Linked DNA regions of Macaca fascicularis. The protein of the gene in region 1 interacts with the protein of each later gene in a pairwise test. Links are inferred from orthologs where the notes say so. Each region holds a gene or a part of one and is shown on either strand. Other genes may lie near its edges.

The links. The genes of interacting proteins can lie anywhere in the genome.
Region 2: the proteins of MOCOS (region 1) and PARVA interact in binary tests that used the Homo sapiens proteins (3 or more experiments, as listed by UniProt). The two-hybrid records come from large-scale screens. The link is inferred for Macaca fascicularis from reciprocal best matches to the Homo sapiens genes MOCOS and PARVA.

Annotation. Positions count from the first base shown.
Region 1 is NC_088392.1:53,689,079-53,692,640, reverse strand, and holds part of MOCOS (molybdenum cofactor sulfurase), read left to right. Parts: intron 1-1,057; coding exon 1,058-1,124; intron 1,125-2,012; coding exon 2,013-2,654; intron 2,655-3,562. UniProt on the Homo sapiens protein: Sulfurates the molybdenum cofactor. Sulfation of molybdenum is essential for xanthine dehydrogenase (XDH) and aldehyde oxidase (ADO) enzymes in which molybdenum cofactor is liganded by 1 oxygen and 1 sulfur atom in active form.
Region 2 is NC_088388.1:53,393,444-53,397,575, forward strand, and holds the start of PARVA (alpha-parvin), read right to left. Parts: upstream 2,851-4,132; 5' UTR 2,756-2,850; coding exon 2,620-2,755; intron 1-2,619. UniProt on the Homo sapiens protein: Plays a role in sarcomere organization and in smooth muscle cell contraction. Required for normal development of the embryonic cardiovascular system, and for normal septation of the heart outflow tract.

The DNA.
Region 1 (3,562 bases):
TGCTAGCTATTCAGGAGGCTGAGGCAGGAGGAGCCCTTGAACCCAGGAATTCAAGGTTATAGTGAGCTATGATCATGCCACTGTACTCCAGCCTGAGTGTTAGAGTAAGATTCTGTCTCTAAAAAAAGCAAGCAAACAAACAAACAAAAAATCTATTTCAGGTGTCCAATAATGATTTTTTTAGTAATTGACCTAGTGATGCAATCATCACTATAAATCAGTTAAATGTTTTCCTTCCCCCAAAAAGATCCTTCATGCCCATTACAGCTAATCCTTGTTGCTGCCCTCAGCCCCAGGCAATTGCTAATCAACTTTGTGTATCTCTTTACAATTCTTTTGCTGGACATTTAATGTAAATTGATTCATGCATTTTGTATATTCTTGTGTCTGGAGTATTTCATTCACCATGCTTTGAAGTTCTTTCATGACATAGCCAGTAGTTTGTTCCTTTTTATTGGCAAATAACTTCCCTGGCTGGGTGCAGTGGCTCATGCCTATAATCCTAGCACTTGGGGAGGCTGAGGCAGGAAGATTGCTTGAACCCAAGAGTTCAAGACCAGCCTGGGCAACATAGTGAGACCTCATCTCTACAAAAAGTAATTTTAAAAAGTTAGCCGAGTGTAGTGGTGCACACCTGTAGTCACAGTTACTCAGGAGGCTGAGATGGGAGGATCGCTTGAGCCCGGGAGTTTGAGGCTGCAGTGACCTATCATCATGCCACTGCACTCCATCCTGGGTGACAGAGCAAGACAGCAAAAAACCAAATCACTTTTATTTTATGGATGTAGCATATTTTGTTTATCTGTTCGCCCGTTGATGGACATTTATATTGTTTCCAGAATTTGGCTTTCTGAATAAAGCTATGAACATTCACGTGCAAGTCTGTATGGACATAAGTTTTCATTTTTGAGGGGTAGAAATCTAGAAGTGGAATTGTGAGGTGATATGGCAGTTTTATGTTGAGCTTTTTGAGAAACTGAGGGAGTGGGTTTGGAAGGAACACAAAAGAAGAGACCCTAAGTAGTGACTCGGTGGCCTTGTCTTTGTAACCTGCCAGGTAATCCTCACAGCCAGAACATCAGCAGCAAGCTCACCTATGACACTGTGGAGCAGGTGCGCTACAGGTAAGCATCAGGGACACCTGCCGAACTGGGCATACCTAGGCAGACAGACTTCCTTCCTAAGACTTGCCTGCATCCCACAAAGGTTCTGAGTTGGTTTCAGGAGGATCACAGTTGGCTAAAAGGCAATGCATGCATGTTGAGAAACATCAGAGTCAGAGCTCAGAAAGGCAGGGGTGAGTAGATGCAATGTAGGGCAGGTGAGAGGCACAGGTAGATGCACACAGCTGTTCTGTGTGGCTCCAGAGACTCTGTAGTGCCAGAGTGACAGGGAGTGACCCAGGATCCCAGGTCTTGTTTTCGGAAAGAAGAAAAGTACTAATTCTCTGGTTTTCCTTTTCATAAGAAGTTTTATTAGGCACCTTGTTTTCTTCCTGTCTTTTTTCCCTTTTTTCCCCCTTTTCTTACTAGTATTTGTATGTTAAACAGCTCTCTATACTTTCTACATGTAATAGTATCTGGCAAATAATTTCCAGGTGGTACTTAAAATTATTAACACAATTTCGAGTTATTTCAAATTTGAAAGTGGTACTGTTTTGGTATTAGGGTTGCCAAAATTAAAAGCAATGTAAACAGGTTGATTACTACTTAAACCTTGTTATGTTAGAGCTGCATAGAAAGCACCAAGGAGAGAGGGTAGTATTAAGTTTATCGTGGATTTTCGTCATACCAAATTGGAGATATCCAGTGATATTTGGGAGGTAAGAGGATTTCGCCAACTGGAACTCGTTCCCACGGCTTCCATTGCCCCTGCTCTAATTTCACAGCTGTGGCAAAGCCTATCTATCCATTCAGGTAGAGATGTCATAGTTAATAGAAACAAAACAGCCTGCAAACATTCAGCGCTGGGGCTGAGATCCGGGGGTTGCGGGGATGTTGTGCTTCTTCCAGAATCCTGGCGCACTTCCACACCACCGCGGAGGACTACACTGTGATCTTCACTTCTGGGAGCACGGCTGCTCTCAAACTGGTGGCAGAGGCCTTTCCATGGGTGTCCCAGGGCCCAGAGAGCAGTGGGAGTCAGTTCTGTTACCTCACCGACAGCCACACCTCTGTAGTGGGCATGAGGAATGTGACTATGGCCATAAATGTCACGTCCACCCCGGTCAGGCCAGAGGACCTGTGGTCTGCAGAGGAACGTGGTGCTTCGGTCAGCGACCCAGACTGCCAACTGCCGCATCTCTTCTGCTACCCAGCTCAGAGTAACTTTTCTGGAGTCAGATACCCCCTGTCCTGGATAGAAGAGGTCAAGTCTGGGCGGTTGCACCCTGTGAGCACGCCTGGGAAGTGGTTTGTGCTGCTCGACGCAGCCTCCTATGTGAGCACCTCGCCTTTGGACCTGTCAGCTCACCAGGCCGACTTTGTCCCCATCTCCTTCTATAAGATCTTCGGGTTCCCTACGGGCCTGGGTGCTCTGCTGGTCCATAATCGTGCGGCTCCTCTACTGAGGAAGACCTACTTTGGAGGAGGCACAGCCTCTGCCTACCTAGCAGGAGAGGACTTCTACATCCCGAGGCCATCAGTGGCTCAAAGGTAACCTTGCCACAGGGGAGGGGCCAGAGGAGTTCAGCAAGGTGGGGGCTGGTCTGTTTCTCCTGGAGGATTATGCAAGAGGTGGGTCTGGCTTTGGGGGTCAGCAGAATTCAGGTTGCTGGCAGGGACAGGCTGATGGCAGGGCTCAGATCTGGGAGGCAGAGGTTGACTGGAGGTGACACAGGTGGTTCAGTGAATTCTGCCCCCATTTGAGAGACTTCTCCAGAGCTGTGAGAGGACCGGGGCCTGCAGATAAGAACTACACACAGGAGAGGTGAAAGGCCCCCACGGTGTAAGGAGGGTGAGCTTCCAGGCCTTTGCCCTCAGCACTGACAAGAGATTGCAGCAGTTGAAGCAGTGGCTTTAAAAGGTGAACCCAGTGGTTTTAAAAGGTGGCACCGTTTGGAATAAGTCTACCCACACATTGACAGCATAGCTGGTTCTCCAGCACCTAGGATCAGCTCAGCCTGGCACCTAGTTAGCTGGAAGAATCAGTTAAAGCAGAGACCCCCAGACTTGTGAGGCAGTGTTAGCAGCAACCTCAGTGAGCCCCACTATGAGTGTTAAAGAGGGAGTCTGGGTACAGGCTGTCACTTGCCCTCAAATGCCAGAGGCCTCTGCCTGGGTTGTTGGCATATGCCTCATCCCCAGGCTGCAAGGGCAGGTGGTGTGAGTTATGCTCAGGAATCTTTCAGATGGTGACAGCTGGGACCTGTAAGGTCGAATGTGTCAAGGCTGAAAATGGTGGCTGACCCAGGGTTCTGCTGGATCAACAGTGGTGACACAGGGTTGGGTAGGCAACTAATCACCTACAGGATTCCGGAGAAGGCCTTGGACATAGATGGGAAGGGCTTTAGATCCCCATGGACCCCACACAGACTCAAGGGTCCTGCATGTAGGGCCATGGC
Region 2 (4,132 bases), on another chromosome or scaffold:
TCTTCTTGCTCTGTCTGCACATTTCTGACAGTGGCTGCATCCCTCTATGACTATAGTTCCAGTCCAGCAGCCCCTCGTCCATAGCCCCAGCTTGTAATAGGTTCCAATTTGCTTCCCTTGTCCCTCAGGCCTCTGAGTGATTAAGAGCTTCCCCCTGTTGCTAGCCCCTAGGGACCTCAGCATCCCGTCTTAGTTCCCTTAACCCTGCCCACAGCTCTGTCAATAGCCCCTTCACTAAACTATTTTCAAAATCTCAACAAATTGGCCTTTTTCCTGCAGGGACCCTGACTGAAACTAAAGAGACAAGATGCAAAAGACCTTAAAATTATGTCTGTGAGGAATAGAGGATGTTGGGCCCAGTGGCGAGAAGACTCAAGAAAGCAGGATAGCCTACTTCAGCAAGGTATCAATAAAAGGCCACCCCAGACTCATTCTCTGGCTCCAACAGTAATAGGTACAGAGAGATACATTTTGGGCTAAATATAAAATAAACCTTTCTACAGAGTAGGTAAAGATGGTTCTCCTGGTAGCAGATATTTTTTATTGCATGAGCTTCAATATTTCTCAGTTGCCCCATCTTAAACCGGATGAGACTATGTCAGGAATGCTGTAAGGAATAAGTTAGAAACATGGTCTAGAAAAGAGCTTTCCAAGCCAGGGTTTCATGATTTGCCACCAACTGTACACTACTCAGTGGGTTACCAAAATAACCAATGTGGGGAAACTTTCGTATGTTTTTGCTGCTTCTCGTTTCAATCTAAAGAACAGAAGTCTAGTTCTTCAAGTCTGATAATCCTGAACACTGAAGACGTTTTTATACTTTAAGATGACTTACAAACATGAAACATTTTACACAGCATCACAGCTTTCAAAAGGTTATTTCCAATTCACGGGCAATCTATTAAAAACATTTTTTAGGGGGCAAGAGAAGTTGATTAATGGTTACAAATATACCATTTGATAGAAGAAGACCTAGTGTTAGATTGGTAAAGTAACTATATTTTACAATAACCTCTTGTATATTTCAAAATATCTAGAATTCCAGTGGTCTAGCATAGAGAAAAGGCAAATATTTAAGGTGATGGATATCCCAAGTACACTGATTTTGTCAGAGGCATGTGAACCAGAGCAACTCCATCTTGAATGGGGCTAGGTAAAATAAGGCTGAGTGAGACCCACTGGACTGCACTCCCAGAAGGTTAAGGCATTCTAACTTACAGGATGAGATAGGATGTCGGCACAAGACACAGGTCATAAAGACCTTGCTGATAAAACAGGTTGCAGTAAAGAAGTCGGCTAAAACCCAAAACCAAAATGGCCATCAGTGCAGACACTGGTCTTCTGCATTGATACACTCCCACCAGTACCATGACAGTTTACACATGCCATGGCAACGTTACCCTATATGGTCTAAAGAGGAGGCATGAATAATCCACCCCTTGTTTAGCATACCATCAAGAAATAACCATAAAAATGGACAACCAGCATCCCCAGGCTGCTCTGTCTATGGAGTAGCCATTCTTTTATTAATCTACTTTCTTAATAAACTTGCTTTCACTTTACTGTGTGGACTCATCCTGAATGCTTTCTTGTGTGAGATCCAAGAACCCTCTCTTGGGGTCTGGATTGGGACCCCTTTCCTGTAACAACTTGAGCTTTACAAATTATATGAATGTATTAATCACATGTGCCCCAAAACTATGTACATCATGCGTCAATTCAAAAAATGTTTAAAACAAAAAATTTTAACTCAGCAACTTCTATCTACACACCAATCTTCTATCTACACATCAGTGCTTCTTGAGAACTGCCACCTCAGTTTTCAAACCAAAAACCAGGACGCAAAATCTGCCCATGGGCAAAAAATATTCTACATGCAAACTACCCTGAAAAAAAAAAAAAAAAGAATAAGGTCGCCTCAATTCACTCTGGTGGGGCGGGGGGAGGCCCACGACGATGTTTGTGTCTCACGCAGGTTTTCTCCTTTGGTAGGGGTTTATCGTGTATTACACCGAGGGCACGCTAGGTTTGCCAGTTTTTCGCTCATTCATTCAACAAACACTCGATGTCCACCTACTCCATTAACAGGGCCCTTCTCGGCCCTCGGGATGGACAAAAGATCCGAAGAGGCCAACGCCACGACGCTGCTACCACAAGACGTCAGCAGGTCCAGGAAACGACCTGATTTTAAGGACCAATGAAGTCAACGAGTGAGAGTGACGGCGCCCAGGAAAGTTGCGGCGGAAACTTGGGAAATGCCAGCCTTCGGGCGCAGAGGGCGGGGCAGGGCCTACCGGATCGCGCTGCCTGCGGTCTGGGGCCCCGCCTGGGCTACGGTCCCGCCGCCTCCGGCCGCCAAGCGGCGCCTGCCCACTGCCCGGCGGGGGCGTCGGCCTGGTCTCCGGCCCAGGAGGGCAACGCCGCAAGCGGGAGGGGCGGCCTCGATGGCCCGCGAGCCCCAGGCTCAGTGTGGCGCGCGAGTCGCTCCTGCCCGACGTGCCCGGGAAGCGCGTGCACTCATCGCCGCGCGCTCCCGAACGGCCCCAGCGCCCCGGCCCCTCGGCCCCTATGGCACCCCCCAGCTCCTACCGCCCGCCCGGCCTGCCTGGCCGCACTCACCCTCCTTGGCTTTCTTCCTCCGGGCCAGGGTCCCTCCGAGTTTCCCCAAGAAGGAATCATCTTTCTTGCGGGACGGAGGCGACTTAGGAGTGGGGGACTTGGGGACAGAAGGCGACTTCTGCGGGGAAGTGGCCATGGCGCGGCTCAGGCAGCCGCGGGCCGGTCGGGACGCGGAGCTGGCGCTGGGCGGACGCGGCGGGCGGCGGCGGCGGGCTGAGGCTGCGGCTTTCCAAACGGAAGCGGAATTATTCCAAGCATTTGAGGCAGCTCACGCTCGCCTTTCCCTTCCCTCGCTCCCTCCCTCGCTCCCTCCCTCGCACCGCCCTCTGCCCTGGAAGGAGCTGCGCTCCCAGGGCCGCGCCCTGCGCCCCTGGGTTGCCCCAAGCAGGGGGGATGCCCCAAAACTGCCACTTGCAGTACAGGAGGCCGTGTGTGCCCAGGTTGGGAGCGCTCGAGCTGGAAAGCTTCATTTACCCAGGCTCTGCACCCATCACACAGCCTGGGGCAAAGCAAATCTGAGAACCAACCCAACCCTGCTACTCTCCCAAGGTCTTCCAGCCGGGGCTGGTGAGCTCGCTCTTCCCCAGCACTACTGCCTGTGGAGTTATCAGGCCCACGTCTTGCGCCCACAAGACTGCAGCTCCTGGAAGAAATTACTAGAGTGAACCAAAATGCGTCCAGGCCCCACCAAAGTGGGCAGAACCAATCACTCCTGAACCTATCCATGATAGTCAACCTCCTCTTCTCTACTCCCTTCCGAGACTGAGAAGCCTGGAGTGCACAAGGGTAAAGCCGAGGCTGCTTATTTTAAGACATCCGTGTTTCTAGCAGCTTATATAAACGAAGATCACACATGGTAGTGGAAACATGAATGGGAAAAGCACAACCATGAGCTCCTACAGGACCTCCCCGAGAATTTATCCTGCTAAATAAAATCGAGTGACAACCAGACTCATTTGAGATAACAGGGGAGTCACACAAAGCACAGTGTTTGAAGGACTCATACTGGAAATGATTAAAAGGCACGTGTTATTGTGCTTGCCCATCTCAAGTTCTCACTCGGGCTGTTTGTCCCTCTGTCTCTCTCACACACGGACTCACAGCGCCTTGGCAACTGTGTTTCCTCCTTATGGCCCCTTCCCTCTAGGCTACGGCTGATTGAACGTGGGTGAACAACTAATCCAAAGGGCGCTACTGCTTTACTGAAGAGCAGCCGATTGGCTAGCCCCAGTTAAGACTCTGCACTAAGCTGGAGAGACTGTTGTCAGAAGTTGTGCTCGTGACTGATGATCACTCGCAGTCAAGACTGGGGTGGCTGTTTCTAACCACGTGCCTGCTGACGAGTAGGGAAACAAAAGAAAGGAGCAAAGAAGTGTGCTCAAAAAGCCACTTGGTCTGCCTAATGGAAACCGTGGGGAGTAGCTGCTTGGACCTGGAATGTTTTCCCAGACCCCACTTGCACTTCCTGCCAAGGCCAGCTGTGCTTCTTCCCAGGAGCTGTTACTCAGCCTTT